Oryctolagus cuniculus: one gene and its partners. The protein of the gene in region 2 binds, or shares a complex with, the protein of the main gene of each other region. Links are inferred from orthologs where the notes say so. Each region holds a gene or a part of one and is shown on either strand. Other genes may lie near its edges.

Evidence for each region.
Region 1: the proteins of MYO5A (region 2) and RAB11A are in contact, whole or in part, in a crystal structure (PDB 5JCZ), measured with the Homo sapiens proteins. The link is inferred for Oryctolagus cuniculus from reciprocal best matches to the Homo sapiens genes MYO5A and RAB11A. Residues at the interface, in NP_001369276.1 of Homo sapiens: Ile1660, Gln1661, Trp1738, Met1742, Arg1745, Tyr1746, Ser1749, Gln1750, Glu1753, Arg1756, Gln1777, Gln1780, Val1781, Lys1782, Lys1784, Met1795, Glu1818; in NP_004654.1 of Homo sapiens: Arg33, Glu35, Ile44, Gly45, Val46, Glu47, Phe48, Ala49, Thr50, Gln63, Trp65, Gln70, Tyr73, Ala75, Ile76, Ala79, Arg82.
Region 3: the proteins of MYO5A (region 2) and SPIRE2 are in contact, whole or in part, in a crystal structure (PDB 5JCY), measured with the Homo sapiens proteins. The link is inferred for Oryctolagus cuniculus from reciprocal best matches to the Homo sapiens genes MYO5A and SPIRE2. Residues at the interface, in NP_001369276.1 of Homo sapiens: Asp1551, Val1554, Arg1555, Thr1559, Ile1562, Asn1563, Lys1566, Ser1597, Gly1598, Leu1615, Thr1616, Asn1617, Phe1618, Asp1619, Leu1620, Ala1621, Glu1622, Tyr1623, Val1626, Asp1629, Leu1630, Gln1633; in NP_115827.1 of Homo sapiens: Arg404, Pro405, Arg406, Val407, Leu408, Leu409, Lys410, Ala411, Pro412, Thr413, Leu414, Met417, Glu418, Met420.
Region 4: the proteins of MYO5A (region 2) and MLPH are in contact, whole or in part, in a crystal structure (PDB 4KP3), measured with the Mus musculus proteins. The link is inferred for Oryctolagus cuniculus from reciprocal best matches to the Homo sapiens genes MYO5A and MLPH. Residues at the interface, in NP_034994.2 of Mus musculus: Asp1524, Val1527, Arg1528, Leu1531, Thr1532, Ile1535, Asn1536, Lys1539, Ser1570, Gly1571, Leu1588, Thr1589, Asn1590, Phe1591, Asp1592, Leu1593, Ala1594, Glu1595, Tyr1596, Val1599; in NP_443748.2 of Mus musculus: Lys184, Lys186, Arg187, Leu188, Leu189, Ser190, Phe191, Arg192, Asp195, Phe196, Glu197.

The regions. Positions count from the first base shown.
Region 1 is NC_091443.1:88,895,669-88,902,474, forward strand, and holds part of RAB11A (ras-related protein Rab-11A), read left to right. Parts: intron 1-2,005; coding exon 2,006-2,199; intron 2,200-3,127; coding exon 3,128-3,208; intron 3,209-4,393; exon of another isoform or gene 4,394-5,731; coding exon of another isoform or gene 5,732-5,751; intron 5,752-6,806. UniProt on the Homo sapiens protein: The small GTPases Rab are key regulators of intracellular membrane trafficking, from the formation of transport vesicles to their fusion with membranes.
Region 2 is NC_091443.1:75,199,331-75,206,715, reverse strand, and holds the start of MYO5A (unconventional myosin-Va), read left to right. Parts: upstream 1-3,459; 5' UTR 3,460-3,654; coding exon 3,655-3,681; intron 3,682-7,385. UniProt on the Homo sapiens protein: Processive actin-based motor that can move in large steps approximating the 36-nm pseudo-repeat of the actin filament. Can hydrolyze ATP in the presence of actin, which is essential for its function as a motor protein. Involved in melanosome transport.
Region 3 is NC_091449.1:69,411,196-69,418,001, reverse strand, and holds part of SPIRE2 (protein spire homolog 2), read right to left. Parts: intron 4,909-6,806; coding exon 4,552-4,908; intron 2,416-4,551; coding exon 2,335-2,415; intron 2,253-2,334; coding exon 2,088-2,252; intron 1,122-2,087; coding exon 1,035-1,121; intron 774-1,034; coding exon 650-773; intron 1-649. UniProt on the Homo sapiens protein: Acts as an actin nucleation factor, remains associated with the slow-growing pointed end of the new filament.
Region 4 is NC_091434.1:2,704,858-2,711,663, reverse strand, and holds part of MLPH (melanophilin), read left to right. Parts: intron 1-539; coding exon 540-710; intron 711-881; coding exon 882-1,037; intron 1,038-2,400; coding exon 2,401-2,493; intron 2,494-3,747; coding exon 3,748-3,825; intron 3,826-4,317; coding exon 4,318-4,369; intron 4,370-6,380; coding exon 6,381-6,481; intron 6,482-6,806. UniProt on the Homo sapiens protein: Rab effector protein involved in melanosome transport. Serves as link between melanosome-bound RAB27A and the motor protein MYO5A.

The DNA of each region.
Region 1 (6,806 bases), about 14 Mb from region 2:
TAGTAACAAACTCTATATCTGTAAACTTAAAGGATTTTAACTTTAAATTTTGGCTTTTCCTTGACATTTGAGTTGCCAACATCCCTATTCTTATGCCTGGTATTATTATTAAATGAAATAAAGGTTACTTGAACTTAAGCACCATAATACCACGATAGCTGATCTGGTAACTGATGGGTGGGCAGCTTATGTGGCATGGATACAACTGACAAAGGGAAGATTTGTCCCAGCCTGGATGGAGTGGGACTGCATGAGATCTTATTATGCTACTCAGGTGCCACTTGAGAAATATGTATTGTTAGGGTGGGCATGCAGTACAGGCAGTTAAATTGCCACTTGGGATGCTGCATCCATGTTGGAGTGCCTGGTTCAAGTCCTGGCTCTTCTCCTTCCAGTCCAGCTTCCTGCTAACGCGCACCCTTGGAGGCAGCAGATGGTGCCTCAAGTGCTTGAGTCTGACACGCATGTGGGAGACCTGGACTGAGTTCTGGGCTTTTCAGTGTGGCCCAGCCCTGACTGTTTGGGCATTTGGGAAGTGAACCAGCAGATGGAAGGTCTCCCTGTCTCTCCCTCTCTTTCAAATAAAATGAAAAAGTGAAAGTACACATTGTTTATTTTTAGAATTTCCCATCTAATGTTTTTAGACTGTGGTTTGACTGTGGGTAATTGAAACTGGAAAGTGAAACCACAGATAGGATTCTTAGATGTTTATTTCTAAGTGTGTGTGTGTGTGTGTGTGTGTGTGTTTCTTAAAGAGACTTGTTTGAAAGAGAAGAAACAGATATAATCCTAGCTTATTCCCCAAATAACCAAACACTGGATTCTGGGCCAGGGCAAAGCAAGGAGCCAGGAATTCCATCTGGATCTCCCATGAGTGTCAGGGACCCAAGCATTAGCAGGGAGCTGAGTTGAAGCGGAACATCCAGGACTTCAACCAGCACCCTGATGTGGATTGCCAGCCTTGCAAGCATTGGCTTAATCTACTGCACCATAATGTTGGCCCCTGTAAGTGTGTTTTTAAAAATATGTGACCCATGTTTTGAATTCTTCTGGTGTTTGCTTCTATTTTGTTGTTCTTTTCTGGTAAATGTTTGTATGGGAAGGCAACCACAAGTTGGAAACAAGATATGTTTCTAGGGGTAGGCATTGTGGTACAGTGGGTTAAGCCGCCTCTTGGGACAGCTGTGTCCCGTATTGAGAGTGCTGAGGGGCTGGCACCGTGGCACAGTGGGTTAAGCTGCCACCTGCAGTGCTGGCGTCCATATGGGTTCCAGTCCTGGCTGCTTTGCTTCCGATCCAGCTCCTTGGCTGATGCACCTGGGAAAGCAGCAGAAAGTGGCCCAAGTGCTTAGCCCCTTGCATCCACATGGGAGACTAGGAGGAAGCTCCTGGCTTTGGCCTCGCCCAACCCTGGCTGTTGTGGTTCTTTGAGGGAGTGAACCAGTAGATGGGAGATTTCTCTTTCAAATAAATAAATATTACGAGTGCCACTTCAGGTCCTGGCTACTCTGCTTCCAATCCAGCTTCCTGCTGATGCATTGTGGAAGGCAGCAGACGATGGCTCAGGTGTTAGCCTCTGCCACTCATACAGGAGTTTTGGATGCAGTTCTGGTATCCTGGCTGTTGCAGGCGTTTGGGGAGTTGACTAGCAGATGGAAGATTGATCTTTTTCTTGCTGTCTCTGCCTTTCAAGTGGATGAAAATAAATAAGCAAAACAAAATGAGAGTGGGTGTTTGGTGCAGTGACTGGGACCCCTGCATTCCATATTGGGGTACCTGGGTTTGCGTCCCGACCCTGCTTTGGATTCCGTGAAGCATCAGGTGGTGATTCATGTCTTTGAGTCCCTGCCACTCATGTGGGAGACCTGAATTAAATTCCCAGCTGCCAGGTATTTGGGGAGTGAACCAGCAGTTGAGCAATGTCTACCCCTTTCTCTCTGTCTCTCTGCCTCTCAATTACTGTGAGTAAATAAAAAATTAAAAATGTGTGTGTTTCTGTTTCCAGATACTATCGTGGAGCTGTAGGTGCCTTATTGGTTTATGACATTGCTAAACATCTCACATATGAAAATGTAGAGCGGTGGCTGAAAGAACTGAGAGATCATGCGGATAGTAACATTGTTATCATGCTCGTGGGTAACAAGAGTGATTTACGTCATCTCAGGGCAGTTCCTACCGATGAAGCAAGAGCTTTTGCAGGTTAGTGATTTGAATCCCATGCTATTACAGTGATTCTGTAGTTTTTACTATTATGTCTTGCAGTTTCTTCACTCTTTCACTGAGGGTAGTTGTAATAGTTTCAGAAAAGTAAACATGATTACTCAACAAAGATGATTGTTTTGAAAGTTTGTGATTACTGTATGGCTCTTTAGCTGAACTTCAAGTTACTGAAACACCAAGACTTTGAGTTTTTGTGGGGAAAAAAAAAAAAAAACACAGAAAATAAATGTTGTCCTCTTTTCTGTCCCTTGAAGTGGTAGGTGAAATCTGTTAATGAAGCATGTTCTACCTCCTTTTCCATCAAGCCTGTATTTTACCAATGCAGCTCTAGATGGGTCTAGCCATTGTTAGGGACCAACAGGGAGACAGCTGCTTAGGAGCTGTCTTTGGTCCCATAGAGGATCTGCCTTTCTCTTGGTCCTGCCCCAGTTTTGTTAAGGGCAGCTTATCAGAAAGCAACATCATGCATTCTTAGCTAGTGAAAGTCATGACCTTGCACTAGTGATTATGCTGTGAATAGTTTTCCATAACAGTTTTTAGTTTCCCAGACAAGAAGAAACTTTATTTCAATAATAACAGAATTCTAAAATTCTAAGTGAATACCATAGGGATGCAGAGGACTGTAAGGAATGAGCACAGTTGAGTGTTTGGTAAGTTTACTACATTTTGAGTGATCTCATTCATTGCTATTGGTAATGTTTAGAGTAATAAATATTTAATCAAGAAGCCAATGAAAACTTCAGTCTGGTAGAGTATAAACAGAATGGTGCCCTTTCGGTCCCAGAAGTTGGCACAGTCTTAGATTTTAAAAAGTCATGTTATTTTCTTTTTTGAGAGCTTAATTATATGACATTCTTTCTTTTACTTGTAAAACTTGACAAAACTGAGTTTTTGTGTCTCCCCACAGAAAAGAATGGTTTGTCATTTATTGAGACATCTGCTTTAGATTCTACAAATGTAGAAGCTGCTTTTCAAACAATTCTAACAGGTAAGATTTGCATTTTCAGATTATACCAGTTGGAATTGGAAGTTTCAGGAAGGTCATAAAAGCAGATTGTTCAGGAAGCTATGTATCGCACCATTGGAGAATGACTGTCATTTGAGAACTACTATAGCAAGAGCTGTTTGCAGTACAAAATTAGTTACAGATCTTGTTCATTGAGCTCCAGTCATCCCAATTCATCTTTATATGGGAAAAATGTTTTGAGGCTTATTTGTTCACTTTTGTTATCACAGTCACAGCTGAAGTTATGTTTAAATCTACCTTGATGTGGAAAGATATAAATGTGTTTTAGAAATTCAGTAAAGAATAGAAAAGGCTAGGAAAAAATAAATTTTTAAACAGTTAAGTGAAAAGAAAACTCTGCTGTGATGTGGAAGATGCAGGTTGTCACTTGCAGATAAAATCAGCCAGTGATTGAATATACAAAAGTTCAATTGAAGATTTACTTTATTTGAAAGGCAGTGAGAGAGAAAGAGAGAGAGATACAGACAAGAATTTTCTTCTGTCTGCTGTTCACACCTCAGATGACCCCAGTAGCCAGCCTGCTAAAGTCAGGAGCCTGGAAGTCCATCCAGGTCTCCCACATGGGTGGTAGGGATCCAAGTACTTGAGCCATCATCTGCTGCCTTCCCAGATGTGATAGCAGGAAGTTGGACTGGAAGTAGAGTAGCCAGAACTGAAACCAGTACTGATATGGGATGTGGGCATTGCAAAGGTGGCTTAACCCGCAGTGGCACAATGCCCACTCCATAAACTGTATAGTACGTTTAAGAACTCGTGAGTTAGAATATAGTTTTATTTATTTATTTATTTGAGAGGCAGAGTTAGAGACGGAGGGAAAGGTTCTCTGCACTGGGTCGCTCTCCAAATGGCTGGAGCTGGGCCAGGTCTTCTCCAGGTCTCCTGCACCGATGCAGGGGCTCAGGGACTTGGGCCATCTTCCACTGCCTTCCCAGGCCACAGGCAGAGAGCCGGATTGGAAGAGGAGCAGCCGGGAAATGAACTGACGCCCACATGGGATGCCAGCGCCACAGGTGGAGGCCTACCTCAGCACACCACAGTGCTGGCCTAGTGTATAGTCTTTTTCTTTTTTTTCTTCCAAAGATTTATTTCATTTATTTGAAAGACAGAATTACAGAGAGAGGTAGAGACAGAGAGAGAGGTCTTCCATCCGCTGGTTCACTCCCCAGATGGCCACAATGGCCGGAACTGCGCTGATCCAAAGCCAGGGGCCAGGAGCTTCTTCCGGGTCTCCTACATGGGTGCAGGGGCCCAAGGACTTGGGCCCTCTTCTACTGCTCCCCCAGGTCATAGCAGAGAGCTGGATCGGAAATGGAGTAGCTGGGTCTCGAACCGGTGCCCACATGGGATGCTGGTGCTTCAGGCCAGGACTTTAACCCGCTGCGACACAGCGCTGACCCCAGAATATTGTCTTAATATATAGGACAGTCTTATGTGGTGGTGGTCTTAAAAAGTTTATATGGAGAAATGTTTATTAATGAGTTTCCAGTTCCCAAGTTTTAATTTAATGTTTGTATATAGTACTTGTATTAGAGTTAAGCAGATTTCAGCTTTAAAATACTATTTTACTGTTAAAAAAAAAGTTGGGAATAAAGCCTAGGAATTAAGAACATGGACTTGGAGGCCTGACTTGGGTGCTAGTCCTGACTCCTTCACTTACTGTTAGCTCTAAATCTTAGGCAAGTTCCTTAACCTTAAAGATCTTCTTCATCTGTAAAATTTTGGGGAAGTTCTTTTATTTCTGTTTTGAGAGAGAGTTTGTGTTTATAAAACCTTGTGGTATGATTTCATTTGACTGTTGTGTTGCAACCTATCAGGTGTTTTGTTTCTGAAATTCATAGAAAAGAATGGTGTGTCACTCAGACAACTCTGGGTACCAAAAATGAGCACAAGCTATTGCCTGTAAAATACTTAGCTATCCCGCTACACAGTGAACATTTGATACATTAGTTACTAAATAGCAGTTATGGCATGAGGGACAAAAACTGGTTAAAATACACTTTGGTGACTTATGTATCTGTTATCAGAAGAATAGTAACTTAGAAGAGCTAGTGCTGGGGTTGGGTAACACAGTAGCTTTCATTGAGTCTTCCCTGTGTCAAGCGCATTGCTGGTTCAGACAGCCAAGGTCTGGTTTTCTTAGAACGCCGTGTGTGGACTTTGTTTAGTTAGTGTGCAGAGTACTAGATTGAGATTCAGGGGTTCTAGGGTTTTATATTTCACGACTTTGCTCTCACTCCCTGTGAATCTAAGGCACTGAACCTCTCTGATCTCCGAGTGTTTTAAATCAACTCAACGTCTGTGAGTCTCTTAAAGCCTCTGAATACCCCATCAGTCTTCAGTATTAGGGATCTTTAATGTCCCATCCACTCTCTTCTATAGTTCTAGTGCATTTATTCTGATTCTGAATGAAGATGAGACCAAGTCTTTCCTTCCATCTGCAGTTACTTGTATGTCTCATTTTTCTTTTAACAGTGAACTTCTGTTTCACTCTTCTCTTCTTCCTCCTAAATGCCAGTGGGAATATTAATACATAGGAAAAACAGAAAAGAGAACAGTTACCTCATTAAGGCTGATTCTACATTAAATTTAACAGTATTAAAGGAATATTTACATTGTATGTTGCTGGAAGAAAAAAAGCTTTTATTTTTTAAAAATATATATTTATTTGAAAGGTGGAATGACAGAAAGGGAGAAACATGAAAAGGTATCTTCTATTCTCCAATTCATTCCTGAAATGGCTGCAGTGGCCAGGGCTGGGCCAGCTAAAAGCTGGGAGGCTGGATCTTCATCTGGGTTTCCTATGTGGGTGGCAGGAACCCAAGTACTTGGGCCATCTTTTGCTGCCTTCCCAGGAGCATTAGGAATCCCTAAGTACTTTTCAATTTGTATTTCCTAAAAACAAGGGCATTTCTTTTTCATAACCATAGAATAAAGATCAAAATTAGTTAGCTATATACCTCATTCAGATTTTGTCGATTATTCCCGTGTCCTTATTAGCAAAGCATTTCATTCAGCTGTCATTTCTTTACACTCCCATCTGAAATGGTTTCTTTGCCTTTTGTTTATAGGCATTGCTTTTTGTTTTTTAAGATTTATGTATTAGAAAGTCAGAGTTACACAGAAGAAGAAGGAGAGGAGGAGAGAGAGGTCTTCCATCTGCTTGTTCACTCCTCAATTGGCTGCAACAGCCGGAGCTGATCTGATCTGAAGCCAGGAGCCTGGAGCTTCTTCTGATCTCCCATGCAGGTGCAGGGACCCAAGCACTTGGGCCATTTTCTACTGCTTTCCCAGGACATAGCAGAGAGCTGGATCGGAAGTGGAGCAGCTGGGACTTGAACCAGTGCCCATATGGGATGCTGGTACTGCAGGCGGCAGCTTTACTTGCTGTGCCACAGCACCGGCCCCTAGGCATTGAGATTTTTGAGGCGTACAGGCCAGTTGTTTTGTAATGTCCTTCAGTTTGGATTTCTCTGATGTTTCTGATGGTTAAATTTAGCTTATTCACTTTTGGTAGGGTCACTACAGATGTGCTGTGAATGCCACCCCCCCCCCCCTTAAA
Region 2 (7,385 bases):
GAGTGCATGGTTCTAGTCCCAGCTCCTCCATTTCTGATCCAGTTTCCTGCTGATGCACACCCTGCAAGTCAGCAGAAGATGGCTCAAGTCCTAGAATTCCTGTCTCCCCCATGTGGGAGACCCAAATTGAGTTCCAGGCTCTTGGCTTCAGCCTCACTTAGCCATGGTTGTTGCAGGCACGTGGGGAGTGAACCAGTAAATGGAAGTACTTGAGCCATCACCTGCTGCCTCACAGCATGCGCATTAGCAGGAAGGTGGGTTGGAAGCAGAGCTCACTAGAACCCAAGGATTCTGATATGTGAGGCATCCCAAGAGGCTTCTAAACTGCTGTGCCAAATACCTGCCCCATCTTCTCTGTTTAATTTTTATTCACATACTATCATGTTGAATTTTGTTCCCTTCCGAAAGTGTTGAAATCCTACACCTAGCAATTGTGAATATGACTTTATTTGGAAATACCATCCTTGCAGATGACCAAGTTAAGATGAAGTCATTAGGGTGAGCCCTGTTCCCTTATAAACAAGGGGAAATTTGCAAGCAGACTTGCACACACATGGTGAATGCCATGGGAAGGTGAAGGCAGACAGCGGGGGTGACACAGCAGAAGCCAAAGAATGCCAAATGTGTGAGATAGCCAAGAAATTGCTAGAAGCCAGGAGGGACAGGAAGGAAGGCATGAAATGGATTCTCTGGCAGACCTAAGAAGAACCAGCTGGCACTTTGCTCTGCAACTTTTAGGCTCTAGGGACATGGGACAGTACTTTGCTGTGGCAACCCTAGTGAGCTAATGGCTAGGTTACACTTAACCACCCTCCCCTCTGACTTTATAATTGTTAGTCTCCCTGATGAGAATGTAAGCACCCTGAGGGCAGGGAATTTTATCTGGTTTATATGTGAATATTCAGCATCAAACAACAGTATGTGACACATGATAGCTCTCAATATTAGTTGAAAAATAATATCCAAGAATATGGTACTTTGGAGGAAAGGGATTTCTCATGTAAATTTGGACACTGTTTTCATTTGAAAACAACCTAGGAGTAGACATTGGGTGCAGTGGTTAAAGATTCCAGTTGAGGGGCTGGTGTTGTAGTGCAGCAGGTTTATCTAAAAAGATTTATTTATTTGAAAGCCAGAGTTAGAGGGAGAGACAGATCTTTCATCCATTGACTCACTCCCCAGATGTCTGCAATGGCTAGGGCTATATGAGGTGAAAGCCAGGAGCTTCATCTGGGTCTCCTGCATGGATGGCAGAGGCCCAAGCACTTGAGCCATCTGCTGCTTTCCCAGGCACATTAGTGGGGAGCTGGATTGGAAGTGGAAGAGCTGGAATAAATCAGCACTCATAGGGGATGTCAGCTTTGCAGGCCATGACGACCCACTGTGTGACAACAGTGACCCCTAAAATAAACTGAAGCAAAAATATTAAAAAATGCCAGTTGATGGCCACATCTCATGTTGAAGTGCCTGAGTTCATTCGCATCCTGATTGCAGCTTCCTGCTAATGTGCACTCTGGGAGGTAGACAGTGATGCCTCAAGTAGTTGGCTCTCTGCCACTCATTTGGGTTGTCCGGGTTTTCAGATTCAGCCCCCAGCCCTGTTTCAGGCATTTGGGGTGTGAATTACTGGATGGGTGCTCTCAAATAAATGCAAATTTTAGGAAAGAAAAACCCATAGGGCTGACGCTGTGGTGTAGTAGGTTAAGTGTCTGCCTTGGCACCAGCATCCCATTTGGGCACTGGTTTGAGACCCAGCTGCTCCTCTTCTGATCCAGCTCTCTGTTTATGGCCTGGGAAGGTGGTAGAAGATGGCCTAAGTGCTTTTGCTCCTGCACCCTTGGTTTCTGTACCTAATGACAAGTGCTTGAGCTGAGTAGCTGTGTGCATGGTGGAGCATCTGGGCTTCTCACTTTTTTGAGTCTCTTCGTGAATGAACAAAGGTAAGGTCAAGGATAGCAAACCCTTCTCATAACCACTGTGTCCCTCTTAACTATTGTCCCAAATAGTTGAGTGATGAAATGCTCATATTCAGCAATTATAAGGGAATAACTACTTTCTCTTTTAGTGATAAAAAAAAAGTTCCAGCAGTAAGAAACATTCAAACCCACGAGGTTCAGTTTTTCAAGTTTTCTTTCCTCAGCATCTTCAGCATTTCTCAGCAGTCCAGAGGGAGGCGTTATCTGAAGGGTGAGAAATGAGGCAGGGTAGTGGCCACATAACAGTGCTTCTTTCTGTTCTGCTGGTCTTAACTGCATGTTTTCTCTCTATATGCATGGGTTTTAGAGCTGGAAGGATCAGAGACAACTCAGTGGGACTTTGGACTCTGTAGCCATTCCCTCTGGCTTGTCTGCAGTGAGCAGGAGGAGAGCTGAGTTGCAGGGAATGAGCACTGGCCCCTGTCACCTTCAGGGAATGGTTTTCCTTTAAACACACAGGCCCTGTCCTGAGAGCTGGTCATGATCGAAGTGGCACCGAATTCACACAACGGGCACTGGGCACCACTTAACAGCTCATAGACATGAGAGATGAACACTCAGGCTGGGACTGAACGCGGAAGATTATTTAATGAGGAGCAAGGGTGTAGGGGTGAAGACAGCATGGAGAGGGGGTTGGAAGTATCACATGCCTGTGCTTCATGTGCCAGGACAACGGTTAGGCTGAAGGCTATGACCTTTTAATACAGAGTTAAACTGCAGAGACACTTTACACGAAGTCCGCTGCCCTTTGCAAGCTTCAAGGGGTGCCATGAAACCGACAATCCCCAAATCTGCAAGGACAGGAGATGGGGCTGGGGGTTTTGAGGGGTTGTTGCGCCAGGCAAATGCACAGAACTAGATAAGAGGCGCCCAGGCTGTCTCATGGGGCGCCCCCTTTATAAGGCTCTCTTCATTTTCTGGAGGTCAGAACGGCCCCTACCCTCTGTGGACACCAGGTGTTCCGAGTGACCTTGCAGATCCTTCACCTCAAATCCCCGGGTTACTGCGGTTACCAAGGCTCTTCTGGAGTTTTAGGTTATTCTAACCTTTCGAGAAGACTTTCCCTGAATGCCAGCAGGCACAGGAGAAACAGCCTGGAGGCTGCCGGCCATTTACCTGGACACAGCGGCAAGCCCCTGCTGCTGCCGCCCCTCCCTGCGGGACTGGGCTCTTCTGCATCGTTCAGGGTTCGCTGCGGACGTACCGGGGTCCCGGGGAAGGTTTGGGGTTTCACTGGCTGGCAGGCTGAGGATGCTGGGTGCCCGCAACCGATGGGAGGCAGCGTGAGCCCGAGAGAGCCCGGAGCAGCCGCGGTGGCAGCGCTCGAGCGCAGCCTCCTCCCGCTCCCACAATGCACAGGGCGGCGGCGGCGGCGGCAGCATCGCGGGCCGCCGAGGTGGCTGCGGCGGCGGCGGCGACCCCGAGGACCCCGGGCACGCGGAGCGCTCGCAGCAGCTCGCGGCGAGCCCGGGAGTGATGGCGAGGCCCCCGCGGGCCGCCAGTGCCTGAGGCGCCGCGCCCCGCCCCGCCCCGCTCGGCGTGGCCCGCCCCGCCCGGCCCTGCCCCGCTCCGCTCCCTGCCGGCCGCTGCCCCGGCGCTTCCTAGTCGGCGCGGCCGGCAGCCCAGGCGAGGTGCGGCCTCGGCACAGGCGGGGGACGTCGGCGCGCAGGGCCCCGCCATGGCCGCGTCCGAGCTCTACACAAAGGTAACGCGCCCCGCGGGTCCGCGCCCTGGGGAGGGGCCACCAGGCCCGGGCCTCGGGCTGTCAGGCGGGGCGGAGGCGGGGGCGCCAGGGCCCGGCCGGCGCGGCCAGCATCGCCCGCTGGCGAGCGTTTCCAAACCCCTGGCGCTGCCCGCCCGTGGGCCGCAGCGGCACCTTCCTCTTTCCGGCGTTGACGTGAGGGAGGCCTGTCGCGGGGGTCGCCTGGCCCCCTGCCAGGCTGCTCGGGCTGGGGAGCGCGGGTTTCTGGGTGGAAACGGGGCCCAGGTGGGTTTCGCAGGGCGGGCCGAGGCCCGGGTTGCCTCTCCCTCCCCGCTCGGCTTGCGGAAGATGGTTGCTGGGGTTGATGCGATGGTCCCCTTCTTGGGGACGCTAGCTTAAAAGAACGTCTCTGTGTGGGTCTGCGGAGGTGCTTCGCAGCCCCGCGTTGGGCGGCTCGTCGGGTTTCACCTTTAGCGGCCCGGTTTCAGATGGCTGCCCTGGTGCGATGAGCCCTTGGGTAGGATGCTGCCGGCTAAGTGGGAGCTGATGCGAGAGCTGTCTTGGTCCACGGTCATTGTCGAGTTTGCAGCTTGCTTGGAATCCCTAGAGCCTCGTTAGGCTCCATGTCTTCACCTCCTGTGGGGCCAGCTTTTTCCTTCTGGGTTTTGATTAAGGGAAGTGGCAGCCTTTTCTTTCTTAACACTGACACCACTGTTCTCTGAGTCTGATCATCTCGAATTGGCATCTTTCGGAGAACTGTCCTGAAAATTTGTTTTGGGCAGTGTGTAGTGCCCTTGGTGGATGTTTGTAATTCTGGCATTTTATGCTGTAACTCATGTGTAAGTAGGTGTTTTGACAGTGATTGATTACCTAATTCGCGTTAACAGAATTGCCCCAACTTTTTGAGTTTGTATTTGCAACAGAGTCTCCATTAGGATCTAGGAATTGTTGCTTCCAAATGCGATGCAAGGATCTAGGAGTCATTGCTTCAGTTGTGACTCAAGGAAGCCCGGAATCCAAGTTCTTTTTTTTTTTTTTTTTATTTTATTTGAAAGGCAGAGTTACAGACAGTGAGAGGGAGAGAGAGGTCTTCCTCTTGTTGGTTCACTCCCCAAATGGCCGCAAAGGCCAGTGTTGCACTGATCTGAAACCAGGATGCATGCTCTTCATCCTGGTCTCCCACATGGGCTCAGGGCCCCAAGGAATTGGCCATTCTCCACTGCTTTTCCCAGGCCATAGCAGAGAGCTGGATTAGAAGTGGAGCAGCTGGGACTAGAACTGGCGACCGTGACCATATGAGATACCTGCACTGCAGACGGAGGATTAACCCACTGTGCCATGGTGCCGGGCCCAGGGGCTACAAGTTCTAACGCTTTATAAAGGGAAGAGGTCTGGACATCAGGACACCTGGATTCTGGTCCAGATCTTTTCGCTTACAGTGTGACTCTCGGCAAGTCACTTGACCCTCTGGTTCTGTTCCTCTTCTGTGGAAGGAGTTCATTGTACCTGCTCTGCAACCCTTCCATGAGTTTGTGAGGATCAAACTTAGAGGTTGTGAAAGCTTTTTTGTAACTTAAGGATTTCTCTGCAGATATGAAGTATATGATTGATTTCTTCAACTGAAATGAGCTGCTATGAGACATTCTCTGGGACTTTCTCTTTTAAGATTTATTTATATATTTGAAAGGCAGAGTCACAGAGAGAGAAAGTGGGGGGGGGGGAGAGAGAGGGAGAGATCTTCCATCCACTGATACACTCCCCACATGGCTACAAGGTTCAGGGCCCGCCCAGGCCAAAGCCAGGAGCCTGAAACTTTAAACAAGTCTCCCACGTGGATAACAGGGGTCCAAGTCCTAGGGCCATCCTCTGTTGCTTTCTCAGTCGCAATAGCACGGAGCTGGAAGTGGGGCAGCCAGAACTTGAACTGGCACTCATTTGAGAGGTAAGAGATAAGAAATCAGTCCAGGTCTTACCCATGGGTGGCAGGGACCAACTACTTGAACTACTGCCTCCGAGGGACTACATTGGCAAGAAGGTGAAATCAGGAACTGGACTTAAAAATTGAACCTAGGGAGCTGGTGCTGTGGTGTTGCAGGTTAAGCTTCTGCCTGCGTTGTCCACATCCAGTGTGGGTGCCGGTTCGTGTCCTGGCTGCTCCTCTTCTGATCCAGGTCTCTGCTAATGGCCTGGGAAAGCAGTGGAAGATGGCCCAAATGTTTGGGCCCCTGCACCCACGTGAGAGACCCAAAGGAAGCTCCTGGCTCCTGGCTTTGGATCTGCCCCGCTCCAGCCATTGTGGCCATCTGGGGATTGAACCAGTGGATAGAAGACCTGTCTCTGTCTCTCTCCCTCTCTCTGTCTGCACCTCAGCCTGTCAAATAAATAAATAAATCTTTTTTTAAAAAAATTGAACCCAGGCATTCCAACATGGATACTGGTGTCTTAACCACTAGACCAAATGCCCACTGCAAACAGGCCATCTTCAAATTACCTAACAATGAGCTGCTTAACTAGAAACTGATTGGATAATGAATTTTTGGGGGTTTAGATCTGATTTTTTAAAGATATTGTGATTTTTTTTAATTGTAAGGTTTTGTTCTTCAATCATACCTTTGTTACATTTGTTTTGTTATTTTTTATTGATTTTTTTAAAGGTGTATTTATTTACTTGAAGGTCAGAGTCACACAGAGAAGGAGGGGCAGAGAGAGAAGTCTTCCATCCACTGGTTCACTCCCCAATTGGCCACAATGGCCGGAGCTGCGCCAATCCGAAGCCAGAGGCCCGGAGCCTTCTTCGGGTCTCTCACACGGGTGCAGGGGCACAAGGACTTGGGCCATCTTCTACTGCTTTCCCAGGCCACAGCAGAGAGCTGGATTGGAAGTGGAGCATCTGGGACACAAGCCAGCCCCTATATGGGATGCTGGCACTGCAGGTGGCTGCTTTACCCACTATGCCACAGTGCTAGCCCTTGTTACATCTGTTTTAAAATTCACCTTTTATTAGCCAGCGTGTGGCATAGTGGGTAAAGCTGCCTCATACATCGCCAGCATCCCATGTGGGTACAGGTTTATGTCCTGGCTGCTCCACTTCCGATCCAGCTCCCTGCTAATGGCCTGGGAAAAATAATGGAAAATGGCCCAGGTGCTTGGACCATGAACATGGGAGACCCAGATAAAGTTCCTTGCTGTGGCTTCAGCTTGGCTCAGTCCTATGAACCAGTAGATGGAAGACCTCTGTCTAACTCTGACTTTCAAGTAAATAATCTTTTAAAAAATAAAATTCACTTTTTGTCATAAAGACAGGCTGGCATAGACATTAGATCTGAAGTTTGGGCTAAAGCTGCCTTATACACAATACACATATGCCCAATAGTATTCTGATCATTTAGTTTTCTCTTGGCTACTTCTTTTTGTGAATGGGCCTTAGATTAGTGACAGGCAGAGAGATTTATGGTGCATCCGGTCCTCTGCTTACTGTTGGGAGGTTCCAACAATGAATAAGACTCAGTCTTTTCCCTCAAGGGGTACAAATGTACCTTTTCTTCTTCTTCTCTTTCTACTTCCTTTATTTACTTCTTCGAAAGGCAGAGTTACAGAGAGATAGAGATATGAGAGAAATTTTCCATCAGCTGGTTCACTCCCCAGATGACTGCAATGGACTGGGCAGGCTGAAGCTGGGAGCCAGGAACTCCATATGGGTCTCCTGT
Region 3 (6,806 bases), on a different chromosome or scaffold from region 2:
GGGAGTGGGCAGAGAGCCGAACCCTGGCAGGGGCTGGGCTGGGCAGTGAGCGTGCAGCCTCGGAAGGGGGTGGGGGTGGGGGTGGGAGTGAGCAGAGAGCCAAACCCTGGAGGGAGTAGGGGTGAATGGTGAGCACGCAGCCTGGGGAGGGGGTGGGTGTGGGTGTGGGTGGTAAGTGTGCAGCCTGGGGTGGGACTGGGCAGAGAACTGAACCCTAGCAGGGGTGAGGGTGGGTGGTGAATGTGCAGCCCGGGTTGGAGGACCAGGGAGGGCCCTGACAGCTTCATGGGCACTGCCTTGCTTAGTTCACACCTTACAGAAGGGGAAGCTGAGCGCTGACCACTGAGCAGTAAGAGGCTTCCACCCGAAGACCCACCTAGGCTGTTAGCAGGAGGAGGAGGAGGAGGCCTCAGACGCTGAACAAATGCGTCTTCCTCCACTTAAAAACTGGTTTTATTTTCCTCCTAAGTATCAAAATTTGTCACATCATTGTGAAAAAAAAAATGTGAAATGGCAAATGGGATGAAAGGCAAGACGCAGACATAGGACGCAAGCCTCCACGTGGAACCTCCCACGGCTGGCCCCAGGTCCTGATTTGCAGCCGGACCAGGACAAGAGGGATCTCAGCCCCCCACCGTCCCCGGCTCACCACGGGCCCCCCAGCGTGGGCCCCCGACGGGGCGCAGCCTGTGTTCCTGCTTGATCTCCTCCAGGATCTTCTCGTGCAGGGTCCTCTGCTTCTGCGGAAGCGGGCGAAGCCTTCTCTCCGACACCTGTGTGGCCAGGGGGCTGCTGGGAGGCCAGGCATGCCAAGCAGGCCCACAGGAGGGAGTGGGACCCCCAGTGGGCTCTGTGTGCACCTGGGGTGGGGGGTGGGGTGTCCTCGCGGTGCTTCCCAGAAGGGCGAGGGCCCAGGGCTACACTGTGTGGGCCAGGGCCAGGGCCCAGTCCAGTCAGCAGGCAAGAGAGGACCAAGCTGCCTGGACCCAGCTGCGTCCAGAAAGCTCCTGGGTGGACTCCAGGAGAGCCCTCACCTGCTTCAGTGGAGGCCGGGAGCGGATGAAGTCCAGGATGAGCTCGTGGGCATCCTTCTTCACCCTGGGAGGGATGTCCCCGTCAACCTGCAGGGAGACAGGAAGGTGGCTCCCGCTGCAGGGGCTGTGTGCTGGTGCCCAGGTGCCCTGACCACAGCCTGGTCCTCACCCCAAATCCCCTCCCGGGCTCTGATCCCCGTGACCCCTCCGCCTTCTGCACAGGTGCACTGTGCAGCCACACTCCAGCCACACGGTGACGCGGCTGCAGCATCCCGGGTCTGGTGGTGCCCCTGCCGGCACTGGGCTTCTGGGACGGCCACACTCCAGCCACACGGTGACGCGGCTGCAGCATCCCGGGTCTGGTGATGCCCCTGCCGGCACTGGGCTTCCGGGACGGCCACACTCCAGCCACACGGTGACGCGGCTGCAGCATCCCGGGTCTGGTGATGCCCCTGCCGGCACTGGGCTTCCGGGACGGCCACACTCCAGCCACACGGTGACGCGGCTGCAGCATCCCGGGTCTGGTGGTGCCCCTGCCGGCACTGGGCTTCCGGGACGGCCACACTCCAGCCACACGGTGACGCGGCTGCAGCATCCCGGGTCTGATGCCCCTGCCGGCACTGGGCTTCCGGGACGGCCACACTCCAGCCACACGGTGACGCGGCTGCAGCATCCCGGGTCTGATGCCCCTGCCGGCACTGGGCTTCCGGGACCTCAGATTCCTCTGGAAAAGGGTCTGTCGTAGATGCCATGAACTTGGCGTGCACGATTCTAAGTGGCACGAGCGCTCAGGAGGTGGCACAGTGTGTCCCAGAGGAGAGACCCTGGGGCCCTGGCTCCTGTGCGGCCTCCTCTGGGGCCGTTCCTGATTCTCCAGGATCTTCTCCCTCCCCTTGCCTGCCATCCATACACTGACCCTGAGCCGTGGGAACCGAGGGCTGCGTCTGCCTCCTTCACACCCTGGCCCAGGCTGGGCTCAGCACCCAGCACCAGGAGCGGGGCGTCTTGGAGCTGCTGTGGGACCGAGAGGGGGCGGAGCGCTGCTGAGCTCACCATGACCTTTCGCAGCTTGTAGTTCCTGGCACGGATGTCCTGCATCAGCATCTCGAAGGGCGTCAGCTGGAACTCGGTGGGGAGGGGGTTGAACTCCTGCTCCTCCACCTTCTTGAGCTTCACCCCGTGGCGCAGCTCCCGCATGAGCTGCACCCACAGCCGAGCCTGGGCCCAGGGGGACGGAGAGGGCCCTCAGGCACAGGCACAGACCCCCGGGGCACCCCACGTCAGGAGGGAACCCGCTTACCCAGTCTGTGCGCCCCAGGTCGTCGAGTTCCACCAGCGGCTTTTCCACCTGCGGCTCGTCCTCCCCGAGCTTCTGCAGCATCTAGGACACACCCCTGGTCAGTCCTGAACGTGGAGCAGCAGACCGCACGCTGTGCCCAGGAACACTTGATCACGCTTAGGCTACCAGGCAGCCAGCTAAAAAGGGGGCCAGCGGGCACATGGGCTCGGCCTGGGTGTTCAGGCAGACATTTGAGGAACTCAAGAGACCAGGCTGGAGCCATCAGTGCACACTATGTCCACACCTGCCCAGGACACTGTCAGAGGGTAGCGGTGGACAGGAGCCTGACACCCACAGGGCACCCATGTGGCGCCGTCTCCCAACTGACGCAGCAGGCGCAGGTGTGTGTCTCACTCACAGCGCTGTCTCAGGAGCACCTAGGCAGGCCAAGTGTCCACCTATGATCCCAGCTTCAGTCTTACACTTTGCTGCTTCTTTTTTTTAAAAAAAAAAAATTTACTTGTTTATTTGAAAGAGCAGGAGAGAGAGAGAGAGAGAGAGAGAGAGAGAGAGAGAGAGAGAGACATCTTCCACCTGCTGTTTCACTCTCCCCAAATGCCTCCAACAGCCAGGGCCGGGCAGGCCAAAGCCAGAAACGCCTTCTGGGAGTTTCGGATACCTAAGTATCTGAGCCATCCCTGCCGCCTCCCAGGGTGCGCGTGGGCAGGCAGCTGGACGGGAAGCTTGACCACAGAGACCCTGATGTGGGGTGTGGGCGCCCCGGGTGGCAGTTTAACCCCATCCCTAGCTGCTGCTTGGAGTCACAGCTAGGACCCAGTGAGCACAGTGTAGCTCACGCTTGGTCCCCAAGACTGGGTGAATGAACCAGTGGGTGGGGGTCTGAGTGAGCACATCCTGTAGACACGGGTGTGAGCCGCGCGAGCTGAGAAAAATGCTGACGTCAGGGTGAGAACTCGGGGACGATGACAGGGACAGCCATTCTCTCCTGAGGCCTGGGCAGGATGCTGGCGCTCAGGAGAGCCAGGGCCCGTCTCTCACTAACTCCTCCATGCTCGTTGGCACACGGCAGTACCACCACCCCAGGCAGAACCGGCTATCCTGCTGTCCTGGCTTTTCACCTCGAGCTGCTACTTGCCAAAGCACTGCCAACTCTGAGGGCACAGGCGTGATTCTGCTAGTAGTCCAGTGTGTGCCCTGGCCAGTCTGTGGGCAGGGCTAGCTGTCCCTCCTGAGCGGGCTAGCCCGTCCAGCTGCGCCCAGCTGCAGACCTTTTTCTCCATCCCTACTACAAATTCCCGGAGCGTCTCCTGGGCCGACGGACGGCCCCTGCGGAAGGGTGGGCTTCCACTGTCCAGACAGCAAGCCTCAGAGCAAAAGGCAGACTGAGTTCAGAGGAAGACAAGAGCACCACCAGCGCCTGCGAATCCTGGGGAGGGAAGGAAACTGCTCATCTTGGCACGTGACTGGGTTACAGGTGCGTGCCAGCCACGCCCACCCCGAGAGACCCCCCCCCCCAGGGTCACTCCTGGTGAGGGAAGGCGGCACAGTCCCACCGATCAGGAGCCAGCCTCACCTTCGAGACCTTCAGCACCTGAGCGAGACAGGGAAGTACACCTTGCCCCCGACCCCCACGCCATGCTTCATGCCCTCATCTGGGAGGTGCACACCCACCTTGGAGCAGCACCGACTCCCCCGGGAGAGGCTGAGACCTCTGACCCCTGACTCCAGGTCCCTGAAGAGGCAGGCAGTTCGCTGGCCCACATCAGCTAGGGCTTCAGGCAGGGGACCCAACCCAGCAGAGCCTGCACTCGCTCCTTGGTAAGACCATCTCAGAGGGGTGGTGTGAGCACAGGGGCCACAAATGCGAGCACGGTTCTCTCACTGGCTGCACACCAGCCCCGAGTCTGTCCTGAGCAGTCAGACAGCTGCCTTCAGCACAGTACTTCCAGAAAGAGCTGGGACCAGGAGGCAGCAGGCAGCCCCCTCTGCAGACGAGAGAAAGCAGCGGGCAACGTGACCACTTAGGGGCTGGGGGTCAATCACTACTGCCTGGGTTCAGTTTCCTTCAGTGAAAAGGTGGGAGAGTTAGATCACAGCCTACCGAGAGCCTGGGCCCTGAAACTGTGCCCAGGACACAGCAGAGGGCTGCCTGCCCCTACACCTCCTTGTTCATGCCCTGGCCCTTCCCACCTCCTGTGACCCCCACACCCCTCTCACCTCCTTGGCCTCCCGGACTCGGGCCAGGAAGGCACGCAGCTCCAGGGTCTCCACGAAGAGGGCTCGGCACACGGCCTGGTAGTGGGCTTGGGCGCCCCGAGGGTCGGTCAGCCGGGCAGCGCACAGCCGCATGGCCTGGGCGAAGGTGCGCACGACCCGGGGGCCGCCCTCGGACTCCTCCTCCTCCTCGGGACCTCCGTAGCCCTCGTCGGCAGCCCCGCAGCTGGCGTCCTCGCAGTCGCTGTTGGCCATGAGGTCGATGAGCCGCTCCAGCTGCGGGCTGAGCTCCCGCTCTTCAGTGTCGTCCAGCCCCCAGTCCAGCGCGCGGTAGATGGCGAAGCCCAGCGACTGCACCATCTGCGGGACGAAGGCGGGATGCACGGGGAAGTCACCAGGGGGCGCTGGGGCGGCGGCAGCCAGAGCCAGTGCCAGGTGGGGAAGGCCGCAAGGGGCTGGAAACATGGAGCCCCGCTAGGAGGCATCCCCAACCCCCAACAGCAAGGTCCCTCTGGGAGGTAATGGCTGATTATTGCCATGTAAAAATGCATGCAGGGCATGGCTCAGCACCTCCCCTCCCGGCTGCTGGACTGAGTGAGGCGAGAAAATGCATCCACACTTGTCCCCGACGCACCGCAACCCCGGCCTGGGAACCACCAAAGTACTCAAGTGGTGGACGTGACCCTGCCACCTGCTCCCAGGAGAACACTGCAGAGCAGGAGGGAAAAGCGTGGACCCCAGGCGTGAGTCGCCAGCCTGCTGGAGCACCGCGGTTGTCTAGGGGAGACCCTACACTCAGCAGCAGGGGTCGGTGCTGCCGGGCTGGGGGCGGGGCAGGGCTCGCTCCAAGGGGATGGCTGAGAGGGCCATGTCTCGGTCGTGCGCTGGGGACGCAGCACTCCATTGGGCCACCCACCTAAATCGTACGTGTTTCACTGTGTGTGACAGCTTTCCTAGGAAGAACCCATCTCCACGTCAGACCTCGTCCTAGCTGCTAGACCACCCGGAAGGTAACACCCGTCATTGTCGTGACCTAACAGCATCATTTACACCAGAGGAGGAAAGTGGCCAGTTTAATCGCTGCTGCTGTGGGACCCACTTGACGTCCGTGATAGAATTTGGCACTTCTGTTTCACAGGGAAGGGGACAGAGGCACGCAGAGGGTGGACCACCCGCTCCGGGGCATGACGAGCCACACCCTCATCTAGATCCACCTTACCCAGGTGGCGGGGGGTGGGGTGGGGTGGGGGTGTCCTTTGACCTCTCATTTCCTGTGCACCTGTAACTGTAGGAGGCTACATCTTCCTGTCCCCCTTCACATTCTGATGAGCAAAAGTTATCTGCTGATTCAGATGACTAATGTGAATTCAGCACACAAATGATATGTAGGAATTCCAGAGACTACAGGAAAACTGCTAGAATCACAAGATCTCAGAAAAGGAAGAAGTTTGCGGCCACCTGGCCAGGAACAAGGACCACGCACTGCGAGCTGTCAGCCTTAGATCAAAGCTAAGCCCCTGAGGTCCCCAGCCCTCTCAGCTTCTTTTAAAACTGCTCTTGCTAACTAGCAAGGCAGAAAAGCTCTTCTGAGACAAGCTGTCCGCTCTGCCAGCCTGCTGAACAAACCTCTTTCTTCCCACCCGTTCTTGTCTTGGGGAACCCAGGCAATGGAAGCCCCCGCCCCACCACTGGTTTTCCAGTCACACAGGAACCAGAGCCCAAGCCTGGCATGGCCAGGGTGGGGTCCAGAAGAACGTGGGGCCCAGAACACGGCATCCTGTGTCCTGTAGAAAACTCCTGACCCCCAGCTCACCTTAGCCCTGCTCTGGCACACCCCAGAGGCGGGGTCACAGGGCAGGCAGTGGAAGCCTAAGGGCTGGCCACATTTGAGGGGATGCCAGGGTGGGGGCCTCTGGGCAGAGGCCTCCAACCCCTTCCAGGTGCGACAATGGGGTGGGGATGCAGGACCAGCAAGAACCACAGTTCACCTCATTTCCCATCAATTCCTTCGGACCCAGAGGCAGAGGCCAAGATGGAGGTCGAATTCCACACCATCCTGCCTCTGCCTCCCAGCTCCCTGCTGACCCGTCGTGTCTGGTTCTGTGTCCAGCCCCAGCCATGCCACCTCATGGAGGAAAGCCCCCACGCCCTCCTGCACAGAGCAGCTCCCAGCCCATCTGTGGCCCCTCCCTCTTCCTCCTAGTCCCTGGTCCCTGCTCACTGGCTGAGCTAGCGCCACGAAGGGTTAACTCCAGCCC
Region 4 (6,806 bases), on a different chromosome or scaffold from region 2:
GAGGGTGAGACAGAGAGAGAGAGGTCTTCCAACCACCGGTTCACTCCCCAAATGGCTGCAATGGGCAAGGCTGTGCCAACCCAGAGCCAGGAGCCAGGAGCTTCTTCTAGGTCTCCCATGCAGGTGCAGGGGCCCAAGGACTTGGGCACCTTCTGCTGCTTTCCCAGGCCATAGCAGAGAGCTGGAGCGTGCGGAAGTGGAGAAGCCGGGACTCCAACTGGCAAAATGGGATGCCGGCACAGCAGGCAGCGCCTTCACCTGCTACGCCACAGCACCGGCCCCCATCCATGCATTTTAGCACAGTAAAAACGCTCTTAAACAGGGGAAGGCAAAACAGAATATAAACGGTTTTGGGTCTTGGATGCCGTGGGTGCAGCCAACATCTCACAGGAGCCCTCCCCTCAGAGCTGCTTTCTGCAGGCCTGGGACACGTGGGACACAGAAAGGGGCGGAGGCCGGGGCTCCAGCAGGGCCTCTGGGCGGCCCCCTCCGGAGCCGGCCTCGGAGCTCCGTGGACAACCGTTCTCCCGCTCTCTCAGCCCCCAGCTGCCGGGCCGCACTCAGCGGCAGACACGGAGGAGGAGGCCCTCAGGAGAAGGCTGGAGGAGCTGACCAGCAACGTCAGCGACCAGGAGGAGGAAGAGGGAGAGCCGGCCGGCGGGGACCACGCCGGGGCTCTCCCCCCGCGGTCCCGGCAGGACCCAGCACAGGTACTGCCACTAAGCAGGCAGCCACTGCGGGGGTCACTGGGGCTTTGACAGGGGCCTCACGGGGAGCCCAGCCCTGGAGGGGCAGCGAGGGGCATCCGGGGGAGGAGCAGAGGCGAGTCCGGGGCTCAGCCCCTCACGCCGGGGGTCAGCCGCTGTCCCTCTCTTTCCCAGGTGTGCACAGACGCCGGCCCAACGCCCGGCCGGGGACAGAGCCCTCAGGGCGCCGGGGGCCCCGCCCAGCCCAGCAGGAGCACAGACGAGCAGCTGTCGGCGCTGGAGGACAGGGTGGCGGCCGCGGCCTCCGAGGTTCAGCAGGCAGAGAGCGAGGTAGCCCAGTCCCGGGTGTCACCAAGACGGGTGCCAGCCACCGGGTGTGCGGGGTGCACCGGCTGTGACAGTCGGCCTGTGGGGCTCGCACAGAGCGTCTGGGGTCCAGGATGGCTGCCTCCTCCCAGGCCCCTGCGTCTCCACGCTGCTGCACTGAGTGGGAGGCAGGCAGAGTTCTCAGGATTGAAACGGCTGCTTGCAGCCCGTAAAGAGAGGCCAGAAGTGGGCTTAGACCCTGGATAGCCGGAGGCTCTGGCCAGGGCCTCCCCATGGGCCTGCGCTGTGGACGCAGGGTCTGAGTTTGGGTGAGGGGCGCCCGCAGTGCACAGGTCAAAGGTCAGAGCCAAAGCATTGGTTTCCCAGGGTCGCCCCGTGACTTCTGGGACAGCAGGACCCCTGCCCGGCCTCGGGCCGTTCTCAGCAGCCTGAGTTCCCAGGGAGGAAGAGCACGGTCCCAGAGCTGCCCACATCACGGGGGCGACTCGGAACACGGTCCCAGAGCTGCCCACATCACGGGGGCGACTCGGAACACGAGTCCCAGAGCTGCCCACATCCCGGGGGCGACTCCGGCTCAGCTCCTCGCTTTCCGTTACTCTTCCCTGGCTTGCAGATCCTCTGTGAATCCCTGGGGTGCATCCAGCATCGGGGGCCAGAGGGCAGACCTGAGCAGCTCAGACCCGCTCCTGCCGCCGTGGAGCTGAGGGTTCGGTGGGAGAGGGTGGATGGCCAGCATCCGTGGGAAGATGATGCTGCGGGCAGATGGGGGCGGGGCTGCCGAGGGAACGTGATGAGAGGCAGCTATGAGAAGAGGCCAGGGGTGGCGTGTGCCAAGGCCCTGGGGTGTCCGGGAATCAGCAGCAGCAACCCAAGGCTGGAACACAGGGATGAGGGGAGAGTGTGGGAGGCCGGTCCTGGAGGGGGCCGATGGCAGAGACCCCCGAGGAACATTTGTGGGGCCACAGGAAGACCTGAACGGGGAGAGACAGGCTTGCCTTCTGCTTCCAGAAGCTTCCTCTGGCCACCATGAAAAGCGTGGCCTAAGGGTGAGGGGACAGACAGGGCAAGGTTGTTGCCAATGGCATTGGGGGCGGTGCTGGGTCAGGGAAGCCCTGAGCTGCTGCTGCCCCTCCCCCAGCCCTGATCTGCCTCCAGAAGTGCACAGGACTCCTCCGCTCCTGCCTGGGGTGGGTGGGGGCAGCAGGAATACCCACCCCCTTGCTGACGGCCGTGGGAGCCAGGGCAGTGGGCGCATGCCCCCGGGGAGACTCATGAGTGGAGTACACGGGCTCCGGGTGGGACGTCTGGGTGGCAGCTGACTCCAGCCATCTCTCTGTCTGTCCGTCCATCCTTCCGTCCGTCCCAGGTGTCCGCTATCGAGTCCAGGATTGCTGCCTTGAGGGCTGCGGGGCTCACGGTGAAGCCCTCGGGAAAGCCCCGGAGGAAATCGAACCTCCCGGTGAGTGGGGCGGGTGCCGGGGCCTCGCGCCCCCAGCTGCCTGCCTGGTCCCGCTGGGCTGTTCCTGAGCTCTGCCCCGCTGGGATCTCTCCCGCCTGTGTTTCTCACCAAGAAGGTGCCCTCAGCCCCTGCCCACGCACACAAACACACACACACACACACACACACACAGCTACTCATACACACAGGTACATATACACACAGCTATACACACACACACCTACACAGATACACATACACACAAACAGCTATACACACACACAAACAGCTACTCATACACACAAACAGCTATACACACATACACCTACACACACATACAAACAGCTACACACACATACAGCTACACACATACACAGCTATATACACACACAAACACCTACACATACAAACAGCCATACACAAACACCTTCACTCATACATACACAAACACCCATACACACATACACATACCTACACACACAAAACACACGTACACATGAACACATGTGCACACATACATGCATGTGTGTGCACATATGAATACACATGCAAGCAATACACACATGTGCGTGTATGCATGTTTGTACACACAGCGGCACACAATGCATTCACACAAAACACATGTACATGCAGAGACACACGAATGCATGAACAAACATACACATGCTTATGTGCACACACATGTACACACTCACAGACACACACACACACTCAACACACTCACAGGGTTTAAAAACCCAAAGCAGCAGCCTGAATGACAGCCTCTTGTCAGAGGGCTCCCAGCTCAGCCCTGGGGAGGGGCGTGACCACAGCACGTGCACAGGAGGCCTCCCAGGGCCCCGCCCCAGTGCTCTGAGGCCAGCACCCTTCTCCCACCCTTGCGAGGAGCCATCAGAGCTCTCACGGCGGGGAACGTGGCAGGGCAGTCACAGGTCCTCCCGAGGGGGCCTGGAGAGGGCTGGCGGCAGATGCAGGAAGCCCGGCCAACCTGGCTTTCAGAGCATCAGCAGTGCCTTCTAGCCCCAGTGCAGCCTGTGCGGCGGCTGGGACACACGCACGAACCATCACCGTGCACCTGAGACCCAGAGTTACTGGAGCTCTGGCAGCCCCGGCAGGGTGTGGGCGCAGAGAGCAGGGGCAGCCGCGCCAGCCCCCTCTCCAGCAGGCGTCTAAGAGGTGCAGGGCTGTGTGTCCCACGTCCAGTGCCCTGACTCTGCCGGCAGCTGGCTGGTGAACAAGGCTGCCGCGACACGAACCTTCTCCCTTGTCCTCCAGATCTTTGTGCCCCGGCTTCTCGGGACCCCCAGCAAGCGTCCAGAGGACCCGGATACAGAGCCTCCTGGTGAAGCCAAGGTGTGGTCCAGACCAAGAGAGGAAGATGGGCCCGAGCTTTGCAGACTGGCGAGGCCGGGGAGGGGCGGGGCTGGAATGTACATGCTGGGACGAGGGCTGTGTCCGGGCGCGTGTTGGGAAAGCCCAGGAGGGGTTGGGGGTGGGGAGAGTGAGCCTCTGACATCAGGCAGACTGGGATGCGCTCCCCAGGCAGCTCTGGGGCCAGCAGGGCTCACGTCTCCAGGTCTTCCTGCTCGGGCCCAGGAAGCTGGGGCATTCATGCCTGCACACCCGCCATCGTGGGCGAGCCTGCGCCCGCTCCCCACTCCCCCATGCTGGGCGTCTCACATTCCGAGGTCTGACTTGATTCAGCTGCTGACGGAGAACAGGGCACCGCTGCCCTGGGTCTCTGGGTCTGCAAGGACGGTGGGCGGTGGAATAGCCGGGGAGCGGAGTGGGGGGGGGGCTGATGAGTGCCACGACTGAGCCGTGACCCCAGGTTCTGCCTTCCAGGACGAGACCGTGCCCTACCTTCTGCGGAGAAAGTACTCCCCCAGAGGTCAAGGTGAGCCCAGCTGCCGCCCTGGCCCCATGCAGGCCTGGGGGTGGGGACTCGGTAAGGCTGGCTTTCCCTGCCACCTGAAGGACACGGTGACACCAGCCCCCAAGAACCCTCCCAGGCCCGAGAGCAGTGAGCGTGAGCAGCTCATTAATGGGCCTTTGCCATAAACACACAAAGGGCGCTACTAGTGGCAGTGGTAGCGGCAGTGGCAATGATGGCGGCTGCAGTGGTGGTGATGGTGGCCGTGGTGATGGTGGCCGTGGTGGTGGCTGTGGTGATGGTGGCCGTGGTGATGGTGGCCACGGTAATGGTGGCTGTGGTGATGGTGGCCGTGGTGATGGTGGCCGTGGTGGTGGCCGTGGTGATGGTGGCCGTGGTGATGGTGGCAGTGATGGCAGCCACAGTGTCCTCTGCGGTTTCCAGTCTAAGTTGTCCCGCGGCAGCACAGGCCCCTGTCCTTAGAGGGTACAGCTCGTCCTTTAGCCTTGAATGAAGTCTTGGTGGTGACAGGGACAGCAGCTTTGTCCCGGACAAGTGGGATGTGAGGCCCACAGGCTCCCCGGCATGAGCCCGGCATGGGGCGTTTGTGTGCAACCCAACCACAGCCCCCGCCCTCCACTGCTGTGCCGCCTCGGCGCCCCCCTTCCCCCAGATCTCAGCACCACCCCTGAGCCCAGTCAGACTCCACCACAGCCGTGGGCCTCACAGGCAGCCGCCCCTCATCCCCCTTGGCTTCCAGCTGCCTGCAAAGGAAAGTGGGATCTCGCCACAGCTGGCGGACCCGCACCGCTTGTGCACACGCTGGGTGCGCCTTGTGGGACAACACCCACGCTCCGGCAGACGTGGGTTCCAGAGCACAGCTGTCCATGCCCACCCGGGCTTCTCCCCAGCTCCCACGGCACTAAGTACATCTTGGCAGTCCCCTTGCCCGCCCCTCCTCTGTGCCAGCCGCCTCTCTGTCGCTGGCTGAACTCCCGGCACACATTTGGGTCGATCCAGGACAGAGCTGGCCCTGACTCAGGACCACAGGAGAGAGAGACGGCCCACGTGGGGGCTGGCTCCCAGCGGGGGCTCCTGGGGTGCCCGTGCTGACCTCGAGGGCGATTACAGCACACCCCACGGCCGAGAGCTGTGGGGGTTCATGAACGTGGGCCTCGTGCTGGCAGGTTTGTGAAGGGCGTTTGGTCCAGCCGAGAGGCCGCCCACGTTCAGGCCAGTGTTCAGGGGCAGTGGGTCGGATGGCCCCTCCCGTTCCATCACCAGCCTGGTGGGTGAGGCCTCAGTGCTTGTCCCCCAGTCGACCAGAGCCAGCCCCACACTGGCAGAGGGTCCCCTGGCCCAGGCAGGCCCTTCCCTGAGGCTGTTCAGGGGCAGGGACACATGGGTGACACCTAGGTAAGATGCACCTGCCGAGAATGGAGAGGGCTGCTCACAGCAGAAGGGGACGGGAGAGACTTGGCTCTTGGCGTCCGGTAGCTCCCGCCCTGTGAATGCTCACTTCTGACACCTGCCTGGTTTTGGGCCAGCAGCTGGCATCCCTGGACCCAAGTCAAGGACAGGGGTGCACGGTCAGCTCCAGGGAGCCATGACCTGTGGCACCTGTGGCACCTGTGGCACCTGTGGCAAGATGAGAACGGCTGGTGTCTATGCAGACCTGAGGCCCAGCCCCAGCTCCACCCACGGAGGCTGACAGGCACCTGTCCTGAGAGTCAGTCCCAAGCCCATGTCACAGAGTGAAAGGAAAGGGGAGGCCATGTGCACGCCAGACCTCTGGGTTCTGCCCACGTCGGGAGCCCTGCGGCCGAGGGGACAAGCTGCTGAGGTTGCTGGGAGCCGGGGGAGGGTGGGACTGAGCTGAGCGTGCACCCAGCTGCCGGCAAGCACATGTCCATCTGCACGTGTAGTCCTCTGGTCCCCTCGGCTGGGGCCAGGTCCCCTTTAATGCTACTTTCAGCCACACCCCTGCCTGGGGGAGGCTTCTGATTGACGCCCCTCCTCTCCCTGCCTCTCCCAGGCAAAGATGAGGTCTCTCTTGACCGGAAGTCCCCGTACCGTGGCTCCCTGACCCAGAGGAACCCCAGCAGGAGGAGGGGAGCGGCCAGCGCCATCTTCACGGTAATGCTTGCTCCCCTCTAAAAGTCCATAACCAGTGGGGTTCACGACTGGCGTCAGGTCTTCAGGAATACGGAAGGAAACCTGGGAATTACAGCAAAACGTGCTCGCGTCGCCTTCATAGAAAGCAAAGCATTTCTTAAAGGCTCCGGGAGACTCCACTGAGGACGACAGCAAAATCAGGGCGGTCAGGACCTGGCCTTGCTCTCCCTGAAGTGGGTGGGGCTCCAGGAAGAAGGACAGGCTCTCTGGCCAATGAGGACCTCTCCCCGGACCCGGAGCAGTGGACATCCCTCCACTGGGCTGGGAGGGTGCAGGGCTCAGAGGC